3 linked regions of the Drosophila melanogaster genome follow. The protein of the gene in region 1 binds, or shares a complex with, the protein of each later gene. Each region holds a gene or a part of one and is shown in the gene's direction. Other genes may lie near its edges.

Region 1 (5,402 bases):
CCACGACTCCAGGTCGAAGGGCTTGAAGTCCTGTAGCGCTGGACTCGGTGGCTCCACCCAGACAGTGGCTGTCGAGGCAGCGGGCACTGGGCTGTTGGCCATTATGCTTTCCACTGGACTGGCGGCGCTGTTGTTGTTGGCATCCGCTACAGGTTTCTCAACAGGCTTGGCGGATGAGCTCGAGTCGTAGGGATTCTGCGCCACCAGCATGTTCCAGGCTGCCAAAAAGTAACAAAAGTAAACCACATTTATTAAATACTTATAAGTACATCTTTACAATCATATTTCCGACTTACAGTCATTTATGTAACGTATTATTTCCTCATGTTGCGGCGTTATCACCTCATCCTCGATCAGTTTGGTTGGCGTTATCCGCTTGGTGGCGAAGCTCTGTTGAAACACCGGACGCGGTATGCTGTTTTTTTAAAAATCAGGAAATATGCATACAATTTTAATAACAATGTTCTTGAATTTCAATGAAAAGGCACTTATGCAAACCACACAGATTCCACCAAACATGTGGACTACGAAAATAAATCACTTGGAGAACGAGGTGGGGTAACTTGGGTTCGACAGCTTGCTACTCAGTTCGAGGAACGCTAAATGCATTTTAATTCGAGAAAGGCGCTGCAGTTCGTCGATTACATTATTTTGGCTTTTAAATGTTAAAATTACATATCGATGAAAAAATTACAAACTCAATATATACTCATAAGAGCAATGAGTACTGATAAGCTATCTACAGTGGCAGATAGTAAACAGTGCCATCCCATTGACTGACAAGGATTTGTGGTTTATTAATTTAGATAATAGTATTTCGGCAAAGGGTTAGGTAATTTTTATCTTGAAGTTCTAAAAATAAAAGCAATCGCAAGAAATTAAATACAATTGGGAGTTTATAAAGTTAATATTTATATAGAGAACTTTTCAGATTTCAGCTGAAATGGCTATGGGAAATTCTAGAAAACTCGCATCCATAAGATACTTTTAACAGCAAGCGTAATACAGTTGATATAAAAGGCATAAAAATAAACAAGAAATGAGATACACTCTTCAATTACCTATAAGTACTCTACTCTGAAGTTACATGTTTCGATTGCAGTTAGACATTCGGAATAACTCCACACCCTTCCAGGTAAAATAAGTAAATTAATCAGCCTTGTTTTGGCACAACCTGTGCCGAGCATTGCCGCGAAGTTACGTTGGAGCCGTGACGTAACGGACGTGGAAAAGTCAATGCCTCAATGGCCTCAATGGGCATTTAAATTAAAATGGAGCCGATAACCGACGCCTGACCCACGTGTTTCCAATGGGTCTCCCCTAGCGAGAATAAGACTACTTGCTCGGGAGCAATTAGCATTACTGTGCTAGGTCGCCACGGATTCTTGCGATAAAATGTCAGTGCGATAAGACGAGGGTCTTGAACCCCAGTCCGCGTTTTCCCCCGTCACTTTTCCCGCTTTCCACATTTCACCATGTGCCATCCGTTTGCATAAGCACCCAAGATTTGGGTATGGTTACATATGAGCATGGCATTCTTACTTTTTGTGCTCCTCGGGACTGTTCAGATCGAAACTAGCGTTCTTGCGGCCGCTCTCCTTGATGCTTTCGAATTTTTCAAAATTTGGTGCCAGGCCTGCGGATGGAAAACATGCCATGGAAAGCTATAAAATACGCATTTACTGTGGAAAACGCCGGCAAAACAAAAAGTTAACAGAGCCAGAGAGCAAGAGAGGCAGAGGCAGATATATAGAGAGAGAGAGAGAGAGAAAGGAAAAGAGTATGTTTTTGTGACATAACAGCTGTTCTCTTGAAAGGGTCTATTGTGGCATTATTAACCATTATTACTATCAATATTTTGGACTCACCGCGACGCGTTTTAGCAACAATTTTGCTAGGTCCCTTGTTGATTGTGTACATGGTGGTGGGGAGATGGGGAGTACCGGCTGAAAATATACCTTGTCCTTTCGATTTACGTATTGTTGTTTTCGTTTCTGGCAACGAAATGCCTAGCCGACTGCTATGATTTTGAGTATTTTTCCGCTCTAGGCAATCATATGATCATTGGCAGCCCAGCCTGCCCCACGCCGCCTCCTTTTGGCCTATTGTCATCGTCTCAAAAGGTTACACAATACACTTCACTTAGGGCAGTGATTCCGATTTAGCACTCTTTGATTTTGATGGCTGCCGCACCGCGCTCGTATCAATTGTTTTCGATTAAAATCACCGACAATTACTCCTGGAAACGCGTTTGTAATGTTCTGTGTTCGGCGGACGAGGCTCCAATGCAACTGCCCCATTCAAATCGCATAACGAAATGTTAAGAGAGACACCCGCAAAGAGCCGTATGTTAGGGCGTTCATGCGGCAGACAACTCGACTTTCAGCAGATCATAATTTCTTCATGGCAGTAACCCACGGCAGTGATTTTATTTGATAAGCGTTTATTTCTTTAGGCTTTCAACTATAATGGGCACTATCAATTGTTTAGTAAAGTCTTTATTTTATAATAGCAATCAGCTTTAGGTTTCGTAGTTCGCGAAGTCGATTAACGCATAAACTGTACAACCGATACACGTGTATGCCCACCATATGATTTCGCCAGTATGTACACACTTTAAAACGGCAGTGGGTTCTTTCACCTGCGCGCGTTTTTTTAAAAGCGTATTAATTGATTAGAGGCTACATTTAAAAGATTGGATTATTGAAAGCATTTAGAGATCCAATATAATTGAAAGCATTTGGAGATCCAATAAATTATATTTTTATATTATCTTTAAGGAATTATTATCTATAAAGTAAGAAATTAATATACTCCATTAAAAAGTTATGCACTTTAAACACCAAATTTGGAAATTGTTACGAATTCCTTTCTAATTTATTGCGATTTGTAAAAGGCGGACTTTATGGCGGTAGACTAAAACCCATTACTACCTGCTCGCGTAATTCTGAACGCATTAAAAAGGGATTAGCGAGAATTTTCTGCGGAAATTTTAATTATGAGCAGGTAGCACCATAAAAGTGACAGATGTGGAAAACGGATAAGCTGTATTTTCCGCGCAGATATTTATGGCAGTCCTGAAATTGCACACTCAAGTGGATATAAAGAAGGCCGTGGGCAAAAGGAAATCAGTAGCAAATCAGCAACGTCAAGCTTCACATTAACTTCCTGATCAGCCAGCCTAGCAGTTATTATGTCGTCGACAAATGAAACCAACCAAGTGCTGCAGCGCCTGAACAGCCTGAAAATCGTGGAAACCCCAAAGGAGCAGCATGAGTTCGGAAAACGCGAGTGCTACTCCCTGGACAGCAAGAAGTATTCCCTGGTACCAGCCACCCCCAGCAGCTCAGGACACGGAAAGTTCCAAACCGAACTCAAAAAGCGCCGCAAAAACAAACTGAATCGCATGTACACTTACGAGGCTGATAAGAATTTCATCAAGGCTCGCAAATCTTTGAACTTCTAATCATAATACGAACCGATGTAATCACCTTAGTCATAAGCATCATTGATTTCAAATCGTACAGTCACAATTCTTTTCACGCTCTGATACAACAAAAATATATATAAATACTTTTGAAACATTTTACTTTCCGCGTCTTTCTCTGACTTACCGTTATGTGGGCAGCCAAACTGATTGTGGTCACACTGCTGCTGCTGCAGTTTGCAGCCCTGGCGCTCAGCTGTTCGTGCGGCGAAGAGGCGAAATTGGAGTGCGGTTGCACAAAACATCACTAAAAACACAAATACTTGGGAATATTACACAAATTATTGTAAATAAATAGGAAATCACAATTTAGTTAAGATGGCGGACATACCGGCAACCAGCGAAGGTAGTGCGAACACTAGTGAGGCAGTAGTGGAGTATCAGCAGCCAACTCCGGAGTTTTTACAACGCAAAATCTATTTTTTGGTGGACCAATTGCGAACTTACCATTCGGAACTTCCCGAGTAAGTCCTTGATATTTAGTTTATTTAAATATTTAACGCCATTTTTGATTAACAGAAACTTGCAGACACGCATTTCCTACGATCTACTCACCGAACTCGCCAATTGTGTGCTAAACGATGGCATTTTTGTAATAGTAAAAGCATTAATGGAGCTGCAACACGAAACCGAAAGACACTTAATTAAAATACGGATGCAGGCGGAGAACGAGTATGAAATAGAAGTGGCCGAGTGGAGGAGCAAGATCAAGGATCCCGAGGAGTTGCGCCACATTTTGGGACTCATGAAAATAAAGCACACTAAGAAACTACACGAGTCGGATACGAAGATTATCGAAATACTAGATCAAAAGGTGAAGAATTCAATATCCTTTTGAGTCGTTCCATTCCACGCACTTTTAGTTGGTCTTACCATCCAAATTTCTTTAAAAACAATAGTCGAATCTCAAACTTAGATAATCCTAATCCTATTTAAAATTAAATTCAAATATGATACATAGTTTGATTATGGATGGATCTATAGATTAGGTATATTTTAGGTATATATTTATCTGCAGATTCTTATAATTGAAATGAAATTATCACTAAAGATATTTTCTTTTGTAATACAAATTATTTCTAATCATAACTTTAAATGCTTATATGGGAATACGAAATTAGATTTTACTACTTTAACTTTCTTTGTTTTTTCTTGATGTTGAACTAATATCTAATATCATTACGCAGGTTAATGACCAACAATCCACACTTCAAAAGGCCGGCGTTCCCGGCTTCTATGTCACCGAGAATCCCAAGGAGATAAAAATACAAATGTTCCTGTTGGACTTCATTTTGCGTTTGAGCCGGCTAAAATACGAGCCCGGCAAATAACAGTTAGTCCACAATCCGGAGAACACAAAAGACTGCACTTGACTTGTTCAAATTAGAATATTAAAGGCAATTAAATTATAACCCTGATCAAATGTCCCAGCTGTACGATCAATTGTGGCCCCAAGAAACCTGTAGCGCTGCGCAGTTTTAATCAGCGTAGAATCGGGAGAGGGAGAAAGAGACGGGGCCGGCCGCCAGAAGACTGAAGAGCGGGAGAATTGATAACGATAGCGCGGCACTCTCCACATTCGCGTAGAAAGCGGGAGAGGCGGCAGTATAAATTGGACCGACCTTTCTGCAGATGCATCAGTTCAGCTTTAAATGTTAAAAGCGACACATTAAATAAATAACAATTTTAACTAGTGAAATCATGTCTCTGACTATTACTTCCAGTGTCACTCATCCTGAGCTCAAGGATCTGGTAAGTAATTGGTCTAGTGATTGGTGCCTAATCCTGTGACTAGTGATTTCAAATGTCCTGCGGTTTAATTCGAGCTTAAATGTAAATTAAAAAATGCTATGATAGCTAATGAAATATATTTTAAATTTTTTTTTGCCGAATCGTGACTTTAATACACCTTTAA
Region 2 (10,478 bases), 3.7 Mb from region 1:
CATATGTATGTGTGTTTTTAAAATTGTTTCGCTATAATTTAATAATAATAATTTAATAATAACGTTTATTTACTGCACCCCTGTACAGTTTTATAAGCACACAAAGACATTTATTCTCAGAAAACATCGGTGGTTGAAGCTGATAAGCTTTAACAAATGTATGATAAGCCGACCGAGAACAACGAAAACGGTAAATTCCCGAATCCGGTGTCAGTTGCGCCGCGTATATGAGCTCGGAACATTCAAAAAATGAGTGGGATAAACGACGAAACTTCTGCAATAACTAATGCTACCACAACAGAAGGGAATCGAATCTCAGGCACTAAAAGAAGTAACGATGGAGGCGCTGGTGAACAAGAGTCGAGACCCAAACAGCGTACAATCGCACAATTGGATCGTTCAACTTGCTCAGCTGGACCTTCAACAACTCATCCATCCACTACAATCTTTGCACTAAACACCTATTGCTGGGATATGATACTGTCCTATTTGAGCCTGAGTGAACAACTATATCTCGCCACCTCAAATCATCAGCTTAAAATGCTTTTCGAAGCCCTGCAACATAGGTACAAAATCATTGGAGAAAGCGACATCGGAAGTATCGGCGAAATGGAACTGCAAAAACTACTGTACATTGTCGGAGAGCACGTGATCAGCTATGAGTCGCCATTGGATCCGCATTCTGGGCACGATCAGCATTTGTGGATATTGCGCGACTACTGCCCAAACCTGCGACACCTCAAAATGTCTTTTCGACGCCCCCGATGGAACCCTTTGTTGAAATTGAAGAGTCTAACATCGTTACATGCTAGCCTGCACTTCACGGATGAAGGTCTTTATAAGGATTTTATAATCAGCCTAAGCGATTTGCCGCACCTGAAGAAATTGAAATTGGAGGCGACATCCTACACGGGCGACGGACTACGTGCCCTAGATAAATTGGAGTACCTGGAGATTGGCAACCAGCGTGGATTTGATGCGAGCATTTTGGCCTCGTGCTGTATGACAATGAAGAAGTTGTGCCACCTTAACATGGGTGAAAACACCGCCAATCTCGAAGCGGAAGACTTTCGGGTAATTGTGAGAAGGGGAAAAAATCTGGAAAGTCTCGCCTTTTCGTTAATACTTTTGGAAGGAAATGTACCCTACGATACTGTCCACCAGCTTCCCAAATTGAAACACTTGCAGTTGTGGTATCGGGACAATAAATTTATCTCGAAAAGTTTCATCGAGAAACTCATTCAAAAACCGGGCACTCCGTTGGAAAGTCTAATTTTGATGGGAAATACCCTGAAACTGGAAGAAGTAGATGCTATCTGCGAGATATCTTCACTTCGGGAGCTGTTTGTCTCATGCAAAACAGATGCAGCAAGAAGTTTTCTACGTCTAAAGCATTTAGAAATCTTGGACGTGAAAATGTTATATGTTAGCAACGATGAGTTGCTTGCGCTTCTGGAAGAATGTGCTCTTTTAAACGTACTTAGTGTCCGGTTTGCCAGGGAAATCACCTTTGAATTTGTGTTAAAAGCTTTAAGTTTGTACAGTCACAGAAAAATTAAAATCTATTTGCACGAATCATCTGTTGATTGGAGCCTTAATCTTCCGGTTCCGAAGGGCAAGAGGAACATTCAGTTCATTAACGGCTATTTAAAGAGTCCCATATTGATGAACAAAGATACTAATGAATTAGATTAATTACAAACGAACAGCATTTTTTGTTAGTTAATAAAAAAACGTTTGACTTTCGCCAAATATTGCCTTACTATATTGGTAATTATTATTTGACCCTGTAAGGTATTTTATGTATATTTCCAGAGCTGCTGGGGCCAACGATATTATACAATTGTGTAACTGCTAGTCGGTTGTCCTGCTACCTGGTCTCCAGGACATCGAGATCGCAAAGGTCAGCATTTGTGTGCAGGATCAGAATGTTGGTTAGCTCATTGTGTTCGTACTTCTTTGGGTTCCTAACTGATTTAGTTTTTAGGCCGGCAGTTGCGAAATGTCTCGTGCAAAACAATGCAAAATCCGATACACCTTTTCTTTATTTTCTTAGGGAGGCGCAGCTGCTCTAGAAAACATACTCTTCCGTTCACAAAATAATCGTGGCAAGAGTCATACATACATACATGTATGTACAATGCTGAATTAAGTCAAAAACAATACATATTTAATAGTTATGACAAATATTTAAGCCACCACGTTATGTTGTTATATTCTTAAACTTAAAAGGGTTAAGAAATCAGGATACATATTTTTTAAGAAGATTAGAAATCAAAACAATTACCATAACTGTTAACAAATTCACCTATTATTTATTATAATGAATGTTATATTTGTATTTTCTATAAATATCTCACAGCCCCTCCCATTAGAAATTCATAGGGAAGACGTATGGCGTATTTCGTTATATCTTTCTAATCGTGAAAGTCATCCGAATTGATAAATATATATACTTTTGTATTTACACTAACATATTTTTTATAAATGGGTAGCATCGTTAGGCGTATTGAAAAGAAAAAGTTTCGCTTAACTTTTTTTGGGTTTTCCACTGACAGCCAAATAATAATAATCGCAGTAGCCGAAATAAAGCTCTTTAAAAAGTTAATTAGAGAGTTGCTGCTCTTAAATTTAACGCGGTGGTTGTTGTTAATTGTGTACTTTCTGTTGCATGCAGTTCATAATTTGTTCAAAACTTCGAGCGGCCACTTTGTTTGAAAGGACTTTCGAAAAGGGGAAAAGTTTTTTTTCCTGTTTCGATTTATTTCTGGGACAGAAACGATTTTTGGAGCCACTCGAGACCGAAAGTCCAAAAGCCTAGCCATTTTTTTTAATTGTAACCTAAACATTTTTCCAAGTGTCCTAATACGTCGATTATTTAAACATTTCATCAAAAACATTACGCTTTCTATTTAATTATATTTTGATAAACAGTTGTTTAATTGATTTTTGTCAAGTTCGCTTTGCAGTGAATTCTTAATCTTAATCAAAGCAACAGTAATAACAACTTAAGCGATTACCGTGGACATAATATATGGATTATATATATGGATATAATACATATATATTCGATTAACTTCAAAACAATGCTTACAAACCCATGAAGAACTTATTCCAAACCCTTTTTATAAACCTTTAATATGTATTATTGGTTTGATCTCTAAAGCTTAGAACTAAATAAATATGCACTCATTTTTAAAAACTATGCAAAAACAATGGACTTCGGCAAAAATAAAAATTAACGTTATACACATTTTTAAATTTTGCGCACTGCTGGAGTTGCCAGTCCTAAAAAACAAACTTCTGACATATATGGCCACACTGTCGGCAAATGTCGATAGACGCCACGACCTATCGATAGCTGGACAGTGTCATCTCTAACATTTACGACGTGTTGACCGGGAAAAAATCAAAAGAAGCCAGCAATTGCTTTTAAACCACGAACCGCTGAACAAGTACGGAGTTTGTAAAATACTTAATATTAGCTAAGTCCGTGCGAGCGTAGCCAAACAAGGAAACTAATTCCAACGCTGCCGTGACACAAACTTCCGTACGAAATTGAAAGTCAAATGAATTCTGTACAAAACTGTGTGTGTGCGTGTAATTCAAGCGTCAATTTGTCGATGATAAAATTTGCCTGCGCCTAATGTACACATGTCTGCGTCTTCGTTGAGCATATGAGCCTGTGAATGTGTGCGTATCGGTGTGAGCGTCGAGCATAAGAAAGCAGCACAAAACAACAACAACGGCAGCAGCAGTAACAACAACAGCAAGAAGGCAACGACGCTAAGAGAAAGAGAGAAGGAAGGGAAGAGCAGAGCATAATCGGACTCCATTTTACAAGGCGAAAAAAGGAGTAGGAAAGAGCGCACCATGGCCAGTTTCCAGATCCACCAAGACATGAGCAACAAGGAGAATCCGGGCATTAAGATTCCGGCCGGAGTGAAGAACACCAAGCAGCCGCTGGCCGTAATTGGGGGAAAAGCGGAGAAAAATGCGCTTGCGCCGCGGGCCAATTTCGCCGTGCTCAATGGCAACAACAATGTGCCGCGTCCGGCCGGGAAAGTTGTAAGTACCGTTGCCGATTTCCCGTACATCCAGTGCCTAATTCCAATGCAGCTGCCTTTTTATATTTTTATGGTGGTGGGATCGTCACACCACTGCGACCGTGCGCATGTGTGAGATCTCCTAGTGGTGGTGGTGGTTTTCTCTCCCTTACCTCTCCCCTACCATCCCATCCTTTTCACTTCTCCATCTTACGTTACTCTCTTCTTAGAACGACCAATGCACTTACTTGCGCCTAACCTAGAACCTTAACTAACCTAGAAAAAGACACAGGCCTTGCAATTACGCGCCTTTTTGATGATTTGCAACAACAAAGCGAAGCAAGGAGGGCAAAAGCAATTGCGACATGCAACGCACACATGCGTATAGGTGCACACATACACACACACACGAGCAATACGGGAAGCCAGGGAAAGGCGCGCAACTTAAAGTTGGATCGATTTATGGGGGGGGATAATCATTTTATTTCTTTTTTGCTTACTATATTAAGGATGCATATGTAAAAGGAATTATCTTTGTGTTTTTACTTTTATAATCCCACTGCAATATTACCTAATATAAAATTATTACCTAATATAGTAAGTTGACCATATTGTTGAATTTGTCTTCTTCGTCTTCTGTTCCTTCCAGCAGGTCTTCCGTGACGTCAGAAATCTTAATGTTGATGAGAATGTGGAGTACGGCGCCAAGAAATCGAATGTGGTGCCCGTGGTGGAGCAATTCAAGACCTTCTCCGTGTATGAGGACAACAACGATACCCAGGTTGCGCCATCCGGCAAATCCCTGGCCTCCCTAGTCGACAAAGAGAACCATGACGTGAAATTGTAAGTTTCCATCTGTCACTTGGTAAGCCGCAAACAAACTTTTGTTTGTTTTTTTTTTCACTCCATTCAGCGGTGCTGGGCAGAAGGAGCTGGTAGACTACGATCTGGATTCAACACCCATGTCCGTGACGGATGTTCAGTCCCCCATGTCCGTGGACCGCTCCATTCTCGGTGTCATACAGTCCAGTGATATCAGCGTGGGCACTGAAACGGGAGTCTCGCCAACTGGAAGAGTCAAGGAGCTTCCGCCGCGCAACGATCGCCAGCGGTTCCTGGAAGTGGTTCAGTACCAGATGGACATTCTGGAATATTTCCGGGAGAGCGAGGTAAGCTAAACCAGGGACATAAACATAGGCTTCAATATGATATTATTAGATGACTTCCTCACAAAAATATTTCAAACTCACAAACTCGCTTTCATCGCGTAATCATTGTCAAAGACAATGATATTTTTTAACTAGTAACTGAAGTGGACAACTTTTATCAGGTCGAGTTTTCCTTGATTATCTTCCAGGGTATTGCAGTCATGTTTTCTGGCATAAATTTGGAATTTTTTCCCAAGGTATCTTGCGTTTTCAATGTGTTACTACTTACTTGGCCATGTGCATTGTACTTTTCTGTGCAGACGCAGGCAGACGTAATTTCTTAGGGGAAGTCGGACCCTGTCGCACCCTCCGTTGGCATTCCCTTCACGCAACGCTGCCTCTTTATGGGTTCATGGGTACACTTATTCCCGCTCGCGGGCACATGTTTGTTGGGCGGGAAGCGAAACGCTTGTCTGTCTGCGTCCGTCTCATCCTTTGTCGTTGTTGTTGACTCTCTTTTTCTCATTCGTCCAAAGTCGTAGAACACTCGGGGTACCAATGGAATTCGACTTGCAGAGGGAGGTTGACTACTATTGTAGTTTGTTTCCTACGTTAGTAAATAAAAGATTAAAAATTAAAATAAGTTTAAAAACTAAAAAAAAAATTAAAACCAAAAAAGTTTTAAAATTGATAAAGAATTTAAAAAACTAGAAAACCAAAACAAATAAAAAAAATTTAAAAATATTTTAAAATCGATAGTTAAATTACAAAACTCGAAAACAACATTAAATAATACAAAACAACAACACAAGGATTAGGTTTTGTCCAGAATGGGCGTATTCTTTATTTTCCCTTGATATTTCAGTTTTTACTAGAGATGGGTTTTTGTCTTTTTTTTTTTTTAAATTTTTAAATATTTGAAATGCTTTGTTTCCAACATGAACATTATAATTTCGTCGTGAAGATTCCCAACAAAGATTGTATTTTTAAAATAGTACAATGTTCTGGACGCCTATGGAAAGTTGCTGCACAAGAAAGTGAGGCAGCTTTCTAATCGCATCCAGCTCATTATTCTCGAATCGTCTTGGTTGGGAACTTCAATACAATCCCACTAACGTGAGTTCTTGTTGAACTGATCGTAAAAGTCATCGGAGACGGCATTGGTTAGGCCCACAAGGGCTTCCTTGCGCTGGCGATCCTGCTCCACGGCCAACTTGGAATTCGCCCGCATCAGCTCATCGAATTCCGCCTTACGTCGGCGATCATCCTCGATTTGGTGAAGGACCAGGGTGCGGTCCATATTAATGGAGTATTGCTCCCACTGTTTGTCCATCATCTGGGCCTCCGTCTTGCGCTGAATAGACAAACGAAGCTGCTGATCTTGTCCAAGACGAAACACGCGAAGTTCTTCGGGCGTCATGCCGCGATACATGAAGGCAATCTTCTTGTTCGGATCGGTGCGCGATTGAGCCACATCCGGATTTTCAGTTAGCATATCGCTGGAGAGCATGTTATAGATCTCGGCCATGTCATCCTCGTACTTTTCACGCTTTTCCCTTTCGCGGTCCAATTGCTTCTGCTTGGCCATGTTGATATTGAACTGACGCACTCGCTGGATGACTTGGTTGCGCATCTGGTGATCAGACTTGGCCATCTCCTGCAGATGCTTGTCTCTGCAACCAACGTTGTCCATCAACACATTATCGGCCTGCTTGCGAGCATCCTCCGCCCTCTTACGCTCCTGCACTTGCTGATCCAGCCAGGCTCTTTGCTGCTCCCGCTGCCGCTGCTTTCTGTCAGAGTTATAGAGGTCCTCGCCTTGAAAGATCTGGGCACTGGACACGCCCAGCGAAATGTCATTGTCGGCGACTCTTGTTGGACGTGCCTTCTTCAAGAAATTCGGATCATTTAGGTCGAATTCGCGGCGCTGCTCCTTGCGCTGATAGCGGCAGCGATAATAGTTAAGATCCGAGTCCACCACACGCTGTTTTTTCTCCAACTCCATTTCCTGGGCCAGGATCAGACGCTTCTGCAGCTGCTCCTGTTCTTCAAATTTCTTGTCGCACTCCATCTGGGCGGTTCGCTGCTTCTTTTTCTCAAGTATTTGGCGATCCAGCATTTCTAGGTCGAGCTGTGAATAGGAATATTCGGCAATGAAGCTCACCCAGTCTGCAGATGCATACTTACCCCGTAAAGACGCTGTTTGGCATTAAAAATGCGCCGCTTCCGCTCATCTTCGTACTGCTCCCGCTTCTGCAGCTTCATCGCCTCGTCGAGATCCTGCTTGGTGCATATACCGATTTTGAGCGTCATTGTGCCGGAGTTAGTTATAAAAGATGTTCAACTGTATTCGAGGTCGATATGTCTGTCTCTTCTTGTTAGTAGGATGTGGATATATGCCTGAGTTGACTTTGTTTGCCCGGTTGCTGGGTGCTTTGTTTATTGTTTGCCTCTACTACTACCTCTGTAACCTACTAGTTACAGACTATTTACATATATCTATAATAATTTCATGGGAGTTAACTGCCTTAATATAAAACAAATGCTGATGTATGTACATATATTCATGTCAATCGAATTCTTTAATTTTTGCAGCTCGAGTCGCTTGACGGTTCCAATAATCGTTAAAGCGACCATAAAATAATCACCTAATGTACATATTGCCCATATATATGTACATATATGTAGGTGTTTGGCAAAGAAATTTAAGTTCGAACTGGGAATTTCGATGCGACTCACGTACTACGAAATAACCAATAAATAAATAAAAATCGGTTAACTCCCTCCCCCAGCTGTTGTTTGCCACTTCTCCTATGGTATTTATACGCTTGATTTGATGACTGTACGGCTTTTTCTCCCGTGAAATTTGTACATTTTTGACACCTTCTTAAGATGAAACTGGGAACGGGTAGTTGGTTGCCAGATTAGAGTGTAGAAAAGGCATAAGCTATATATATGCGAATCCTAACCTAAAGTATTAAAAGTTTGGCTTAGTAATTTTTGTTAGGCCGGGTAATCTAATCGGTTTCTAATCATTTGTTTGCATGTGTTTGCATCTTCCAGAAGAAACATCGCCCCAAGCCACTCTATATGCGCAGACAGAAGGACATTAGCCACAATATGCGCTCCATCCTTATTGATTGGCTGGTTGAGGTTTCCGAGGAGTACAAACTGGACACGGAGACGCTCTATCTCTCGGTCTTTTATCTAGATCGATTTTTGAGCCAAATGGCGGTGGTGCGCTCCAAGTTACAGCTGGTGGGCACGGCAGCTATGTATATTGCCGCGTAAGTATTCTTGATAGTCCGGTAATAATGGTGTGTGTATTCATGGGGTTTATTTTTTTATTTTTCAGAAAATACGAGGAAATCTATCCCCCAGAGGTCGGTGAGTTTGTCTTCCTCACCGACGACAGTTACACCAAGGCGCAGGTGCTACGCATGGAGCAGGTTATCTTGAAGATTCTCTCCTTCGATCTGTGCACACCGACTGCTTACGTCTTCATCAACACCTATGCTGTACTTTGCGACATGCCTGAGAAGCTGAAGTACATGACGCTGGTAAGCTATTGCCAATACAAAAGAAAAAAGAAACAAAGCCGAAACTTAACTTAATGTTTACCTGACACAGTATATTTCCGAGTTGTCGCTCATGGAGGGAGAAACGTACTTGCAATATTTGCCATCACTTATGTCATCCGCTTCAGTCGCACTGGCGCGTCACATTTTGGGCATGGAGATGTGGACGCCAAGGCTGGAGGAGATCACGACTTACAAGCTGGAGGACCTAAAAACGGTTGTGTTGCATCTGTGTCACACCCACAAAACGGCAAAGGAGCTCAACACGCAGGCCATGCGGGAAAAGTACAATAGAGACACGTAAGTCGCAAACACTAGATAGCCGAAGAATGAGCCCGTGTTGACCAAATGTATTTCTTAACAGTTACAAGAAGGTGGCTATGATGGAATCCGTTGAGATGAGCAAGGACGACTTCGATCAGCTCTGTGAGGCTTACAATTGCAAGCAGAAAGAGGATGAGCACCAGCAGCCGGATATTAATACTAAATCGAACGTGAATTTGTTTTATAAGTTTTAAGTGTTTTGAGCCGCTGTCATGGCCAAATTGTATATTAGTTTAGTGTTTCCATGTAACATTATGTAGTTTTAGTTATAAGTGTACACAATGGATCAATTGCAGTTCGGTCGCAGTCAGCCAGTCGTATAAAAGCTTCGCATTGGTTGGCCGATTGACAAGCTCCCGTTGCAAGTGCCGGACAATTTTATATGTAAGCCATATAAAAGATAGTTGCCAAAATATACGCGCTTAACAACATTCGCGTCTGTCCACGGTGAGAGCTTGTCATGCCAAGCGGGAGCAGTAAGAACTTCGGCAGTCTTAAAAACTATCCGATTAGCCAATTGAAATTGGAGGAAGCCACCGGACACAACATATTAGTGCTGCTTATGCTAACGATATTTTATATTTCAACCTCTTTATGTTAAGTATGTATGTTTTCGTGTTTATAAATTGAACCATACTAACGTATACAATGTGTCTAAAGCAGAAACAGCTAGCTTCGAGAATTATTTTACCATATTTATATATTACTATTTACTCCGTAAATGTTCTGTGAACTCCAAAACAAATATATACACAATTTTAACAAAAGACACCAACCGCCCAGCCAGGACGGAATAAAAAACTCACACTGATCGTGCTCAGAACGGCAGGCAGCCGTGGAATGTTGCTAAACTCTTGTTCTTGTAATCTTGTAATCTTATACGCTTACTAAATGTTTACTAAACTTAGTCTAGACCATCTTGCGACCACATATGTAGCTAGAATAGAGCGCTGCCGAAATGCGTACAGCCAGATGATGGGTCTTACTTTACACTTAGGTTTATGCTAACTAATCCATTTAGTTTGATAATTCCATTGACCATCGCATCGAGTGTTTTGTGCTCGCCAGCCGAATATTACCTAAATATCCAATATTAAGAATTCAATAAAACTTTGAAAGATGCAAGCAAAAGAGGTGGTTGTACTTGTACCATTATTTGTGTGTCACGTCGTTGGGTCAAACAAAATAAATAAATAAACCCAGAAGTAATATTCGTTATTTCAATTGTATACATTACATTTTTGAAAGAATTATTAACCATAGCCGCTCTAACCATTTGATTTTTTATAGCTGCGTCACAAGTACATGCGGGAGCTGGCCAAGGGAGACTCCGATTGGCAAAGAATGGTGGAGATGCGGTTTTTGGCTCCGTACCTGTGCCA
Region 3 (6,880 bases), on another chromosome or scaffold:
TAATTCGCATACTTGAATGGTTCGATTAAAAAGGAAAGCTAAGGACTAGATCATATATTTGAAGATATATGAACAAAAATAATAATAATTCCGTGAGCTAGGTGTAATTAATTTACTTTAAATTTATTTAATGCAACAGGTTATCACCTGCAACCTGCACGCAAAGTCTTTTTATAGTTTATATGAATTTTCTGAAAGAATAGTAAGCGGCATAGTATGTTAAATGAAATCCTTTTCCTTAGCATTGTGAGATTATAATTAAGATGAAAAATGTTTTAAGCCAATGATTCTGCTAAAATAGATCCTAAAACCACCTAATCAGGGATTTTTATTTGGTTTTAAGACCATTTTATCAGGCGAAGTACAAGTCCTGCACAAGTAATGCGGAAAAAGTGGCTTGACTACTTTTAGCGCCAGCGAAAATGAATAGGCATTTTACAATGATCCAAACTTCAAAGAAGTCTTTTTTACTGTTGACCCAATTATCGAATTAGGATTAATTTTATTTTTTAAAAAATACTTAAATGATATAAAGTATGCAACTACAACTGATTATATTTCTATAAACAAGCGCACTAGGAAAATTGAACTCGTCCTAAAAGTGGGCGTGGCAAGTGTTGGAACCTTTCCTACCTGTAAAATAGTTTATAAATGTGTGCTAGCACAACTAAAACTGTTATATTTGGTTGGTTTAATAAAAATATGCTTCATACAAATATTTGTATTTACATATTTTTTTGGGAACCCATGTTATACCTGACCTTTCTTGTTTTATATCAGAATTCCTAGTCAAACAAATACTTAACTTCTTATGCTAACCTTACAGATAACAATAATAATTAGTTCAATTCATTAGTTTAAATGCCTAATTTTTTCCAAAGATTAAACATTAAAAATTAACAAATTGTTTAAAACTCACGGAGCCTTTTAATGCTATAATCATTAATGATATTAATCTATTTAACAAACTAACACAATACCGATTCTTGAAATGTTTCTACACCTGATTCACAACATTTTCCATGAACACATGTACATGATACTTACATTAAATATACACGTACATGGTATATGAAAACCGTGAGTTTGTTGCACGAAAATAAAACTTAAAATAACTTCCCAAACGAACAAATGCACACGCACACACACACACACAAGCACACGCACTTGGAGAATAAAGTTAATTCATACGCTCTTACACCCATTTACTCGTTTGTACATAAGTAGTTACTTTGTTTACGAGCATTCGTATATACATATACATACATACATGTGTATGTATGCAGAATCATGAAAATGGTATCCACATACATTTAAGAGGAATTAATTCGTACATAAGGCTGTATACGCACGGGTATATACACACATTCAACAAATAAACGTATGCAGATCCATGGGCAGCATAAAAAGTGTAATCGAACGGCTAGAAAACATACCCTGCACCGAAATAAAATACATTTCGTGAAAAGTACTCACCCTAATATCCACTGTTAATTCTATGTATGCAATTCCTTTTGTTGCAGCGAGTGTTGACGTTGAGCCACCAGCAGCGTATGTATTACATATACATATCTCTTTCGTATTAATACCGAGAATCCTTGTGTTTTCAACAACAGTTTGATAAGTTTACCCAACTTTTTTTTTTGTAATGTCGTCCAGTCGACTTCAACTAGTAGTACGATTATGTGTTTTGGGATTATATCAAAATGCACAGCTAAAGTAAACCGTTTTGCGATAAACTCTTCGTTTACACATTGCAAATATGCATGACACTTCTATTAACTATTTTAGTTCACTGCGCTTATGCGAATTTCAACTATAGGTAAAAAATTCTTTATTTATCATTCAGCTCGTTTTAATTTTCGTGTGCTCGGGATCGCCATCTTTGTTCTCTTCGTGCGTCATCTGTAGCGTTGCGATTCGATAAGAATCGATAGTCCCTTCGATAGACGTACACCTCGACAACCTTAACGCACTGTTTACACCGTTGTCGTTGCGCGATAAACAGGTTACATTTTTTAACTTTGCACTTGAAAAAATATGTTTTTGAGACAATCAGGATAATTTATTTGTATAAAATTGCATTTTATACTGAAATTAAATAGAAAAATTCTAAAAAGAGTAGACTCTGTTATTAAGCTGTGCTATAATTTTAAATTAAATTCAGAAGCTTAAAACACGACGAACCAGGTAAATGGGTTGAAGAAATTTATATAAAAACTTAGTATAAGTGTAATAAGAAAAACTTTGGGTTTCAATAGCTATAACACCATTTGGAAAATCCAATTTTCAAATCTACTATAAACAACGTATAAGGAAAAATAAAGAAAAAATATTAGAAATGTGTTTTTATAATGGTATCATAGCTTCATACAATTTTACTAAGGTCCTCGTTTTTAGTCCCCATAAATCCAGGAATTATTTCGATATTCCGCTCTCTTAAGACATTCCCCGGACACAAATCCTAATCATAGATATTAACAGGTATATGAAAAGTTTATTGCATTGGAAAAACAGTTTGTTGTGCATTTAGCTCCATCGGTAATGTGCGTAGGCGCGGTTGCTTTCGCACAGCCTGTGCAGATCGTCCTTTCGCTTGATGACCCTTCCCTGGCCATGGGCTGCGTCGAGAATCTCCCAGGCCAACTTTTCCGGCAGGGACACCTTACGCTCCTTCTCGCGGGCAGCTTCCAAGAGCCACTTCATGGCCAGAAAATATGACCGCTTCGTGGTGATGGGAACAGGGACTTGATAGGTGACACCACCACGTTTTATGGCGGTCACTTGAAGGAGCGGTCGGCAGTTTTCAACCGCTTGTTTCAGAAGCGTTTCGGGATTGGTGTTTATGGTTGTCTTCTCCCCTTTGGCCAGATTCATGTGCTCCGTCTGGGTTCGTTTTATTAGCTCCAGCGTCTTGGACAAAAGCGTTCTGGCCAAGGCACTGTTCCCCTTTTTCGTTATATAATTGATCATTTTATGTTTTGTATCGTCGTGAAAGATGGTATCAGACGATTTGTTGACCGCCGCCTTGATGGGCACATGGTAAAGCTTGGACAGATCATTCTTTTGCTCTAGTTGTTTATATTTTTGTACAATTGGTTCGACATAGTGTGTGGGATACACCGACATCAATCGAAGGCAGCTACAATAAACAAATGGGTGATCAGTCATTTGTGTTTTTAGAGATAAGTAACACTTTAGAGAAGTTTAACTTACCTGAGCCTTGAAGTTTTCTCTGCAATCCTACCTAAAAGCGACATGTTTACATCGTCTGCTGTGTCGGCAAAAAATAAAAAAACTATGTTATATATATGTTATGCACATTTGCGGCATGCATATAGGTGTGTCAAGATATCGACAAAGAGCTTAGTAATTTTGAAACAACAAAAATGAAGTAAAACAGTTGCGGTATTCCAATTACATTTTTTAAATTAATTTCTTTAGTACCGTACTACTGGTACTCACCTTCAAAAGATATAAAATAGAAATTAATTGCACCAAAAACTCATAAGTTAATTAATAGTATATTAGCAGAAACGTTTGTCTCCGAACTCAAACAAAGTGATGTCTTAATTAATTGAAATCACTATAAAAAAAAGCGTGGAATTTTACAGTACACTAAAATTAACTTTAAAAAAATTAACAACATTTTTAAGATACAGCAATTCAATAAGTTGCCTGAATATTGAGTTTCATTCCCACATTCCAAATGAATAAATGTAGCTAGCTTAGCATCGTTTAAACTGTCTGGTAATACTAGAGCATATACGTCAAAAACGCGCTAATTTAAAAGTCGGTGGCTTGCAAAGAAATAGCTTAATAAATTATGGAGGATTTTGAGAAAATTGAGAAGATTGGCGAGGGCACATATGGCGTGGTGTATAAGGGTCGCAACCGCCTGACGGGCCAAATTGTGGCAATGAAGAAAATCCGCTTGGAGTCCGACGACGAAGGCGTTCCATCAACCGCGATCAGGTAAAATGCCGCGGCTTGGACGCCCAAGCCTCAAAATGTTTCATGTTCTTTCGCGACTTTTCCATTCAAATGGCTTATATGCTTAATTGAAAGTATGTTCCTTGACATCTTATGGGTTGGTTTGAAGATTTTGCAATATTGTTTTTAATTTATACTGTGGAAGTCTAGCATAATTATGTTACGGCTTATGTTCATCATACATATGTGTGTGTATGTACAATCCTATATGCGTACTTATGCTCATGTGTACATCATCATACTTTCTATTTATGTTTATTAATTGGAAGCCTGCGAATACTTTCTGGTTCAACTGATAGACCAATAACTAAAATACTTTAATCACATGTTTTTTCTATAATGTAGTAATATTTAATATCCATTACAGAGAAATTTCGTTGCTTAAGGAGTTGAAACATGAAAACATTGTCTGTTTGGAGGATGTTTTGATGGAGGAGAACCGCATATACTTGATCTTTGAATTCCTATCGATGGACCTCAAGAAATACATGGATTCGCTGCCAGTTGATAAGCACATGGAGAGTGAATTGGTCCGTAGCTATTTGTACCAAATAACTAGCGCCATTCTTTTCTGCCATCGTCGGCGAGTACTTCACCGTGATCTTAAGCCGCAGAACTTACTAATCGACAAGAGTGGCCTCATAAAAGTCGCCGACTTTGGACTTGGCCGATCCTTTGGCATTCCGGTGCGCATTTATACGCACGAGATTGTTACCTTGTGGTACAGAGCGCCGGAGGTGCTACTGGGTTCACCCCGGTATTCCTGTCCCGTCGATATCTGGTCCATTGGATGCATATTCGCGGAGATGGCAACGAGAAAGCCGCTATTCCAGGGTGACTCGGAAATTGACCAGTTGTTTAGAATGTTTAGGTAACCACAGGTAATTTACTTTCTATTCCCTGTGATACTCACACTCATTGATTGCAGAATTCTGAAAACACCTACCGAAGACATTTGGCCGGGCGTTACTTCGCTACCCGACTATAAGAACACGTTCCCCTGCTGGTCCACGAACCAATTGACCAATCAGTTAAAGAATCTCGATGCGAATGGTATTGATCTCATACAAAAGATGTTAATCTACGATCCAGTTCATCGCATTTCCGCCAAGGACATTTTGGAGCATCCCTATTTCAATGGTTTTCAATCGGGCTTAGTTCGAAATTAACGTTCGGTATTCTCGTTTGACTTTAACTAAGAATTTTAAAACAAGAGATCTTGGTATCTAATCTAAAGCAAAATAGCCGTAAATAAAACTAAGGGTGTAAAACAATCAACGTTTACTTAATTTATGTAAGTGTATTTACAGATTTACGCCAAATTACCAGCGCTCTAACAGAATAATAAGGCTTCAAGGCTTTAATTATTATACAAAAAGAAAGTTAAATATGGAAATCCTCGTTGAAACTAGTCCTATTATAGAGAGCACTGCTAGCACCGCTGTCATGACGTCTAAAGACGCCAAAGCAGCCGCGCCTCTTCATCACGTAAGCACCAATGATGGTCGGCACCGCGATGAGCAGGACAACCAAGAGTCCAACCCATATAAGACTGCCCGTCGAACTTTCTATCATATGTTCATTCGCCACTCTGAGCAGCGTAACATCGTTTAACTTGTTCGGACCGCCACATTTGACATCTTTGGCCAGAACGGGCGTGGTCTTGTTGATTCGATCTATCAAGACGTTGATCAAGAAGTCATTGGATTCGTCGCAATTCCACGGGTTGAATCTAAGATCCAGAGCCTTAAGTTTATCCCAGCGCACTAGTAGTTCTTTCGGCAAAGTCGACACGTTGCAATTATTCAAGTAAACCTAAAAGTTTATGTTATTTAGTTGATTAAAGCTCTACATGCTTTTGCACTTGAATTACCTTTTCCAATGGCGGGTAGTCCAAGTACTGGCCACCAGTTACGTTCTTGGATAGAGCCTCCTCATCAATTTCATTTAGCAGTTTGTTGTCGGACAATATCAGTTCAGTTAAACCTAAAGAAAGATGGTTGTTCGATTAAGCCATTAGCCATTAGTGCGCGCAGGTTCACAACTTACTTTGCAGTTCACTAAATGCTCCTGGCCCAATTTTGTACAACTTGGACATAAAAGTCATGCTGAGGTGGGTCAATTTGGTCAAAGGTGGAAATACACTGAAAAAATTAATAAATATATTGTTTTGCGCATACACTTAAACGAATCCTAGAATGACTCTTACTTGTCGCCAATCAAATTTTCGATGGGATTTTCGTTTAAGACCAGGCTGGTCAAGTTCGTCGCATATTTCAGGGCCTTTGGCAATTGATTAAACAGATTGCCAGCTGCTATAAAGATCTCAAGATCTCGGGGACCATGTAGAATTGTATCCGGCAAGTCATCGATTTCCATATAAGAGACATCCAAGATCTAAAACGAACAACATAAACGAGCTTTTGAGTTCGTAGAATTATAAAAACATATGAATTTCGCATACCTTCAACGATTGTAAGCCGGAAATGGCTGTTTCTGAAAGTTGATCGATGACATGAAAACTATTTGAGCAGAGAACGAGTTCCTCAATGTGGGGAATGTGTTCAAACAGATCCGCATCCAAGCTATGCAGATCGTTGTATCCCAAGTTAAGAGTCTTTAGATTTTCCAATGACTCAAAATCTTGGACAGTGAAGGGTCCTTTAAAAACATCCGGTACCAGAACTTTCGAAGTCAATCGGTTATGCGACAAATCGAGTGTGACTAGTTCGGTTAAATTCTGAAAAGCTCCCACGGAAATTGAATCGATTTGGTTGTTAGCCAAGTACAAGTTCTCCACATCGTATTTCGGCAGAATTGGCACGCTGGTCAGATTGTTGTGCTCCAGATTGATTGTTTTGAACACAACATTGCCGTTGGTCAGATC

What was found. Proteins that work in one complex are often made in the same cells at the same time.
Region 2: Z600 (region 1) and CycA share a complex: the UniProt entries of both Drosophila melanogaster proteins name them as parts of the frs-CycA-Cdk1 complex.
Region 3: Z600 (region 1) and Cdk1 share a complex: the UniProt entries of both Drosophila melanogaster proteins name them as parts of the frs-CycA-Cdk1 complex.

What each region holds. Positions count from the first base shown.
Region 1 is NT_037436.4:15,505,931-15,511,332, forward strand, and holds Z600 (Z600), read left to right. Parts: upstream 1-3,130; 5' UTR 3,131-3,193; coding exon 3,194-3,466; 3' UTR 3,467-3,583; downstream 3,584-5,402. Other genes in the region: CG7841 (uncharacterized protein), read right to left, coding at 1-218, 297-415, 1,543-1,636, 1,869-1,920; gdl-ORF39, read left to right, coding at 3,619-3,738; gdl (gonadal), read left to right, coding at 3,806-3,951, 4,007-4,301, 4,675-4,818; MsrA (methionine sulfoxide reductase A), read left to right, coding at 5,189-5,239. UniProt on the Drosophila melanogaster protein: Cell cycle regulator that is involved in modulating and adjusting cell proliferation according to the requirements of the developmental program. Interacts with mitotic Cdk1-cyclin complexes to inhibit mitotic entry at the G2/M transition.
Region 2 is NT_037436.4:11,826,464-11,836,941, reverse strand, and holds CycA (cyclin A), read left to right. Parts: upstream 1-3,363; 5' UTR 3,364-3,873; coding exon 3,874-4,068; intron 4,069-4,695; coding exon 4,696-4,889; intron 4,890-4,959; coding exon 4,960-5,215; intron 5,216-6,097; exon of another isoform or gene 6,098-6,305; coding exon of another isoform or gene 6,306-7,325; intron 7,326-7,381; coding exon of another isoform or gene 7,382-7,507; exon of another isoform or gene 7,508-7,693; intron 7,694-7,752; exon of another isoform or gene 7,753-7,912; intron 7,913-8,257; coding exon 8,258-8,481; intron 8,482-8,549; coding exon 8,550-8,754; intron 8,755-8,824; coding exon 8,825-9,072; intron 9,073-9,136; coding exon 9,137-9,290; 3' UTR 9,291-9,859; downstream 9,860-10,478. Other genes in the region: CG43064 (uncharacterized protein), read left to right, coding at 250-1,695; CG7264 (uncharacterized protein), read right to left, coding at 6,306-7,325, 7,382-7,507. UniProt on the Drosophila melanogaster protein: Essential for the control of the cell cycle at the G2/M (mitosis) transition. Interacts with the Cdk1 and Cdk2 protein kinases to form MPF. G2/M cyclins accumulate steadily during G2 and are abruptly destroyed at mitosis.
Region 3 is NT_033779.5:10,383,124-10,390,003, reverse strand, and holds Cdk1 (Cyclin-dependent kinase 1), read left to right. Parts: upstream 1-3,741; 5' UTR 3,742-3,826; coding exon 3,827-3,975; intron 3,976-4,360; coding exon 4,361-4,864; intron 4,865-4,921; coding exon 4,922-5,162; 3' UTR 5,163-5,265; downstream 5,266-6,880. Other genes in the region: mRpS7 (mitochondrial ribosomal protein S7), read right to left, coding at 2,530-3,142, 3,217-3,260; CG5096 (uncharacterized protein), read right to left, coding at 5,377-5,808, 5,867-5,979, 6,043-6,137, 6,203-6,390, 6,458-6,880. UniProt on the Drosophila melanogaster protein: Plays a key role in the control of the eukaryotic cell cycle. Required for entry into S-phase and mitosis.